2 linked regions of the Rattus norvegicus genome follow. The protein of the gene in region 1 interacts with the protein of each later gene in a biochemical or structural test. Links are inferred from orthologs where the notes say so. Each region holds a gene or a part of one and is shown on either strand. Other genes may lie near its edges. The genes, in order: Itgb2 and Icam1.

Region 1 (3,811 bases):
CTCCCCGCTACGCCATGGTGGCTGAAGGGAAGAGCCAGTAAGAAGGGCCTGCCGGGGCTGGAGAGATGGCTCAGTGGTTAAGAGCACTGTCTGCTCTTCCAGAGGTCCTGAGTTCAAATCCCAGCAACCACATGGTGGCTCACAACCATCTGTAATGGGATCCGATGCCCTCTTCTGGTGTGTCTGAAGACAGCTGTAGTGTGCTCACATATGTTAAATGAATAGATAAATAAAATATATATTTAAAAAAAGAAAAAAGGGGCTGGGGATTTAGCTCAGTGGTAGAGCGCTTACCTAGGAAGCGCAAGGCCCTGGGTTCGGTCCCCAGCTCCAAAAAAAAAAAAAAAAAAAGAAGGGCCTGCCGTTGGTATTTCAGGAAATACCCAGGTAGGGTTTGGGACAGAGCAGCCAGGCCATGAAAGGACACAAGCTGCGGAAAGTGGCTGCTCTCTCTCTCTCCGTACCCTCCTCTCTTTCTCCCTGCCCTGCCGGTCCAGAAGCTATGAAGATGTCAGCAGGAGCCCCCTCCCCGCCCCCCCAAAGAGGATGTGCCCCGCCCCCCACTCATCCCCTGACCCATGGGATCCTTGCCAGCCACCCCCCACCCCCCCACCCCCTAGCCAACTTTGCTGGAGACTCACGTAGTAGGCTTTCTTGATAAGCTGGACTACGTTACTGGAATCGTCAGACAGCTCGCCCACCGCTGACTTGGGGATAATCTCTGTCAGTTTCTGTTGATGAGAAAGAAGACCAAGCTAGGGCTGGAGAGATGGCTCAGCAGTGGAGAGCACTGACTGCTCTTCCAGAGGTCCTGAGTTCAAATCCCAGCAACCATTTCCCAGCGTGGTGGCTCATAGCCATCTGCAATGAGATCCGATGCCCTCTTCTGGTGTGTCTGAAGACAACAACAGTGCATTTATATACAATAAATCTTTATTTTAAAAAGAGCTTCCCTTTCTCATGAGCTGGCTCATAGGATGTAAAACAAGTCGGTGCTATACTGCTGAATGCCAGTAATCGATTCTTGGAACAAAAAACAAAAAACAAAAACAAAACAACAACAACAACAAAAAAAACAAACAGCCAGGCCTGGTGGAGCAGCCTGATGTCACAGTCTCTCACCCTAGCTGAAGAGACATCAAGCTTCGAAGAGCTGGGTCTAGGAAGCTCAGGACCCAGGCCCTGAAAAGCTGGGTCTATTGTCCCTGGCCTCTCTTCACAAGTTCAGGGTCTGTCTGGGTTACTCAGCCAGATTGTCTGAGAAGCAAAACTGAATAAAGGGCCAAGAGTGTGGGCTGGTGGTGGAGTCCTTGCCTAGCATAGATTCAATCCCCTGTTCTGATTGAGAAAGGGAGGAAGGGCTGGACGGTGGGGGTGAATGCCTTTAATCCCAGCACTTGGGAGATAGAGGCAGGTGGATATCTGTGAGTTCAGGGCCAGCCTAATCTACAGAGAGAGGGGGTAGGGTGGGGGAACTACACAAGGTTACACAGAGAAACCCTGTCTTAGAAGGAAGCCCAGTTCCAAAACCCTGAATGGAGGTCACACACTCCTGGGTGTGACCGTCCCCAGCTGACATTTCAATCCGATGGCTTTCTGAGTTGGGAACACAGAGTCCCCACAGTGGCCTTCCCAGGTGAGCACTGTTGCCTCTCACAGAGGAACAAGCTGGGCCCCTTCTTTAGATGTGTCTGGAGTGGCTGAGATCTGCAGTTCTCCGATCCCAAAGAATGAGCCATCAGACTTTACAAATTGATTACAGTCATCGTCTTCCAAGTCTCGGGTCACATAACAGATATACACATCTCATTCTGGGCTCAGGGTCTGGCTGAGCAGCTCCTGGGAGCAGAGATTCTTCTAGGAAGAGAATCCCTCATGACCCACTGTCCAGTAAAGATCAGTTCATAGGTTGGGCTGCCTACACCCTACACATTCCAAAGAGGGTAGGCCTCGGCAGTAGCTCCTGGCAGGTGCGGGGATGGGGAGGGGGTAGGGGTTGTCCCTTAGGCCATGAAGGATCCACTTATTCTCAGGTGGGGCTGGAGGTCCTGGTCAGTCATGAGATTAGCCCTGAAAGGGGAGGGGCCGCAGAAGCTTAAGCCCCAGCTCTCTCCTAGACTTTGCCCTTTCCCTTTCTAGTCTCCGCTGACTTTACCCCTACACTGTGGCAAACTGACTGACAGTCTAGTTTGCTTAACTCTTCAGGCCTGTCCAGCCAGTCACTAAGCCAGGGAGAAGAAGGCTTGGGAGACTGGTCACACCTGAGACTCTTAGGCCTGTGTGAACTTGCCCTTAGAGGATTTGGCCTCAGCTCCTCAGATGGCTCGAGGCGGGACGCACACGCATGACATAGCATCAGCAGCAGAAACACAGGATGAGCATCAAGTAGCATTTCGAGGGGCCCTGGGGAGGCACCCCAGGCCTCAGTGAATATTTGCTAACTCCATAGCTGCTTCTTGCTTGGTGACATCATGGGACCCAATTACTGCCATTAGAATAGACAGAAATGCTATTATGAACCGAAGGGTCCAAGGGTCTCCTAACTACACGTGTAGGACTGCACCTTCCTCTAGGGGCCACCATAGAGGTGAGCTCGCTGGATGCAGAACCTTGGGGTCACCAGGCTTGGTTGCTTTACAAAGAGCAAGGCTGGCTGCTTTCTCCCCAGGAGGATGGACGACCGTTTCAAAGCCAAGGGCAAACCCAAGCGAGATCCTGTTTGCTTTAGCTTTGGCTTCTGTTTGTTTGAGGTGCTTTGGGGAGACTTGTCCTGAACCAACATATATAGGAAGGAGGTATCCCACTGTGGGCAGAACTGAGGTCTCCTGAGGTGCGGTCAACATATGAGTTTGGCTCCATTCGAATGTTGGTTACTCAAAGAAGCTTCTTTTTGAGGGATGGGGGCCGGGGGGCAAACTGCTTTGTTCCAGAAGAAACAAAAGAAGGGAGCAGCACTGTGAAATTTCAAGACATGGACCCTGTGTGGCTTAACGACAGTCTCAACTTCCCTCATCAAGATGCTCACAGACAGAAAACTGTGGCCACTGGGCAGGCCCACCACCCACAGGCCAACAAGAAAAGCAGAACTGAAGCAACAAAGGGCAGGGCCCGGCTTGTCACTGCCAGCTGAGATGGCCTTGTCGCCACATTGCACAAGGCCCCCACTTACCTCATAGGTTTTCACCATCTTCTTTGTCACTGCAAAGATGGGCTGGATGTTGCTCTCGGAAAGTTTGTGGGCCAGCTGGCCCACTGACGGGTAGTCCTGGAGAGAGGGGACACACCTTGTCAGACGAGCCTTCGAAGCAAACGTCCAGGCTGACAGAGCATTGGCCCCTGCTCAGGCCGGGCTTTACTTGGTGCAGATCTACAAGCATATGACAGGCTTGGCAGGGAACCAACCAAATCCTTTGAAATCCGCCAAGAGAATACTGATAATTGTGATGGCTACTGTGAGTCACGACTCTAGGTGCTAAGCCAGCCAGAGCTCAAGCAGTATCCCGAGGAACTGGCGTATGGGTACCTAGGAAGTGCCTGCGTTTCCACTAGGGCTAGATTTTAGACTCCACCTCTTCACCTCCATGATGTATAGTGGAAGGATATGATAGCCAACTTTAGGGGGAGGAAGGGAGATAAGATATCCCTGCTCCTGTCCAGGGTCAGGACCCCCCAGATTCTGTCTGCCGCCAGCTCCAAATCAGTGGGTTCCAGGTAGTCCCTGAGTGTGTGGGCTCAAAAAAAAAATCCTTTATGATACCTTTGGGAAGGCAACGAGCATTCAGGGATGGCCTGAGGCTCTGACAAGATCATT
Region 2 (3,811 bases), on another chromosome or scaffold:
TGTGAATTGGATCTGTGAGGTGGGTGGCCTGGGGGAAGTACCCTGTGAGGTGGGTGGCCTGGGGGAAGTACTGTTCAGAAGCACCACCTGTGCCCCACCGTGGGCTTCACACTTCACAGTTACTTGGTCCCCTTCTGAGACCTCCGGCTGGCTCAGGGTCAGGATGGGAGCTGAAAAGTCTGGGGGCGGGACACACCGTGAGCTCCGCCCAATGCAAGCCCTGCCCTTGACCACCCAGCCTCAAGTATGGATGGACCCCTAGTCTCAGCCCCAATCTCCAGTATTGGCCATCCAGGAACTGGGACTAGCTGAAACTAGGCCTTTAGAAAGGTCTGGTCCCACACATTTTGAAACAAGGTCTCACTGTGTTGCCCTGGCTGGCTCAGAACTCATAAGGACCCTGCCTACCTCTGCCACCCCTGTGCTGGGATTAAAGGAGTGCTAAGTCTCCCTGCAGTTAGTTCTTCTATCTCTTGAAAGTGCCACGACTGGTGTGCCCCTGGTGGCAGTTCTTACTCCTGAATGGGCTACCAAGTTAGGCCACGCCCCTGAAAGGCCCACCTATGGTGTCAGTCCCACCCTTGTCAGTCCTACCTCTTTAGAACCTCCCCTCCCCCCACCCCCTATTGGTGTCAGTCAGGTCTCAAAATCACTTTCTTTAGACTAAGCTTCGCCCCTTCTTACTGTAGATTCTCAAGGTCTTCTCCATCTCCAGGGTCTGGTCCGCCAGCTCCAAAACACAGCGCAGCTGCAGGGTTCTGTCCAACTTCTCAGTCACCTCCACTGAGGCAGTGGCTGACACAAAATCTCTGCTGTTTGTGCTCTCCAGGGTCAGCATCTGGCCTCCCATCTCCAGGTATATCTGAGCTTCAGAGGCAGGAAACAGGCCTTCCAGGGAACACAAGAACTTCTGCTGGGTGCCCACCTCCAGGAGGTCAGGGGTGTCGAGCTTCAGGACCCTAGTCGGAAGATCTTGGGAGAGAAGACAGGCATGAGCAAATGGACTTCCGAGGTCTGTCTCTTTCTTTCTCTTTCTTTCTTTCTTTCTTTCTTTCTTTCTTTCTTTCTTTCTTTCCTTCTTTCTTTCTTTCTTAGATTTATTTATGTTATTTATATGAGTACACTTTGCTGTCTTCAGACACACCAGAAGAGGGCATCAGATCCCATTACTGATGGTTGTAAGCCACCATGTGGTTGCTGGGAATTGAACTCAGGACCTCTGGAAGAGCAGTCAGTGCTCTTAACCACTGAGCCATCTCTCCAGCCCTCCCCAGGTTTTTTAACACCAACTGCCCAGCCACCTCCAGAGCCACAGAACAAAAGAAGTGTGGTTCGTAACCCTCAGGGCTGGCATTCAGTGTGAATTGGACCTGTGGGGTCTACTCACAACCCCCCTTTTTCTTTCTTTTTATTCATTTATTTTCTGTGTATATGTGTGACTCACTTGTGGAAGTCAGAGAACAACTTTCAGGAGTCAGTTTCTCCTTTGGGAGTTGGAAACTGAACTCAAGTCATCAAGCTTGGATGCAAGCTCCTTCCTTTACCCACTAAGCTATCCTCTCCCCCGTTGCCGAGGTCAGCTTCCTCCCAAGAACCCACTTGCTCTCTGTGCAGGAATAGGGCCTCACCGAAAGTCCGGAGCTGCCTGACCTCGGAGACATTCTTGAACAGTGACAGCCCTTGTGGCCTGAGGTCCAGTTCTGTGAAGCATGAGAAATTGGCTCCGTGGTCGCCTCTGCTGGCCAGCACCGTGAATGTGATCTCCTTGGGGTCCCCATCCACTGCCTGGCGGCTCAGTGTCTCATTCCCACGGAGCAGCACTACTGAGAGCTGTGTCCGCGGTGCTCCGCCTTCCACCAGGCAGCGCAGGATGAGGTTCTTGCCCACCTGCTGCCAGGCGGGCAGAGGATCCAGCTCCACTCGCTCTGGGAACGCTGCAGGGAAACAGAGTTGGGGGATCCTGTGAGCTGGACTGCTGTAGACAGACCCACACCTGCCTAAAGACTTCAGTCTCCCCCAAACACACCCCACCACCTAAGCAGCCAGGAATGCAGAGAGCTTTGGGGAGAGGTAGGGAGGAGGTCAGGAGTGTTTGCACGACAGCGATACCTGAAAGGTGGAAATACACTCCAAAGTCTATCATTAGGAAACTGCAAATAATGTATCCGGTGTGCTAAAGGTTGACGGTGTGGTGGCCCAGCTTTGGAAGACCTGCCTAACGGACAGGAGGCCCTGGGTTACATCCCCAGTCCCAGGAATAAAATTAAATTAGATTAGAATGGGCCAGTGAGATGGCTCGGTGGGTAAACGTGCTTGCCACATAACCTGAGTGCCCAAATTCAATCCCTGGATCCCAGGCTGGGCAGTGGTGGCACAGGTTCTTTTTTTTCGGAGCTGGGGACCGAACCCAGGGCCTTGTGCTTCCTAGGCAAGCACTCTACCACTGAGCTAAATCCCCAACCCCGGTGGCACAGGTTCTTAATCCTAGCACTTGGGAGGCAGAGGCAGGTGGATCTCTGGGAATTCGAAGCCAGCCTGGTCTACAGAGTGAGTTCCAGGACAGCCAGGGCTACACAGAGAAATCCTGTCTGGGAAAACAGACGATCGATCCCTGCATCCCAAGTAAAGTTGGGCAAAGAGAATAACTCCAGAGTGGTCCTCTGGCCTCCATATGTTCACCTGGCACACCCGGGTCTGCACTCGCACATCATACACACACGATAAACATAACGAATGAGCTGGGTGTGGTGGTGTGCACCTTTAGTCCCAGCATTCGGGAGGCAGATCTCTGAGTTCGAGGTCTACAGAGTAGCTTGGTCTACAGAGTAGCCCTAACCAGGACAGTCAGGGCTACACCAGTGAGACCCCGTTTCTCTAAAAAAATAAGATATTAATTAATTAATTAATTAATTAATTAATAAAAGCCAAGAATGGCGGTACAGCCCGTAAGCCCACCCAAAGCAGGCGAAACCCAAGTCTGAGGCTAGCCGAGACTAAGTGAATTGAGGTGTGAGAAATCAAGCCACGCTTGTGTGAAAACTTTCTATAAGACTAATCAATTAAACCTTCAGGACAACAAAGAGTTAGGGTGTGCGGATCTAGGGCACACACAATTCTGTGTGCTTGTGAGATAGTAGTTACTAAGCTTCAGTGGTAAAAATCCCTGTGTAGAATCCCACACTGAGGGGCCGAGCCGAGTGGCGTGGCTCAGTAGTGGAAGCCCAGGGCAATTGTAAAGCCTTGGCTTCCCTTCTCTTTTCAGCCCCTGTCTTCCTTCCTTTCCTTTATTTTCCCTTTTCTTCCCTGTTTTGTTTGGGGTTTCTGTTGTTTGTTTTCGTTTTCTGCCTTTTGAGGCAGGCCCTTACATACTATAGTGAGCTTGGCCTCAAACCTGAGTCTATCCTGCCTTGGCCTACCCCAGAGCTGTGATTACGAGACCAGCACCGCATCCAGCACAGAGTCTTCCATTAGGCAAAGTGGCAAATTAGGTAATATATGTCTTTAATCTCAACGCTCAGGAGGCATAGGCAGGCAGATCTCTGTGAGCTGAAGGCCAGCCTTGTCTCCACATCAAGCTACTTAGTATCAAAAAAAAAAAAAAAGTCAGAGACTACAATTCTACAAATACAATATACAGTGGCCCTCGCCCCCCGCACCCCCCTGTTTAATCTCAGCACTTGGGAGGCAGAGGAAGGGGTAATTCTGTGAGTTGGAGGCTGGCCTGTTCTACAGAGTTCTAGCTCCCCTAGGGATACATAGTGAGAATCCAGTCTTAAAAACAGACAAACCAAAGGTCAAGATTGTCCTCAGC

The links.
Region 2: the proteins of Itgb2 (region 1) and Icam1 form a complex in vitro, tested with the Homo sapiens proteins (4 studies listed by BioGRID). The link is inferred for Rattus norvegicus from reciprocal best matches to the Homo sapiens genes ITGB2 and ICAM1.

What each region holds. Positions count from the first base shown.
Region 1 is NC_086038.1:11,069,599-11,073,409, forward strand, and holds part of Itgb2 (integrin beta-2 precursor), read right to left. Parts: intron 3,266-3,811; coding exon 3,170-3,265; intron 732-3,169; coding exon 642-731; intron 1-641.
Region 2 is NC_086026.1:27,836,144-27,839,954, reverse strand, and holds part of Icam1 (intercellular adhesion molecule 1 precursor), read right to left. Parts: intron 1,935-3,811; coding exon 1,629-1,934; intron 973-1,628; coding exon 685-972; intron 180-684; coding exon 1-179. UniProt on the Homo sapiens protein: ICAM proteins are ligands for the leukocyte adhesion protein LFA-1 (integrin alpha-L/beta-2).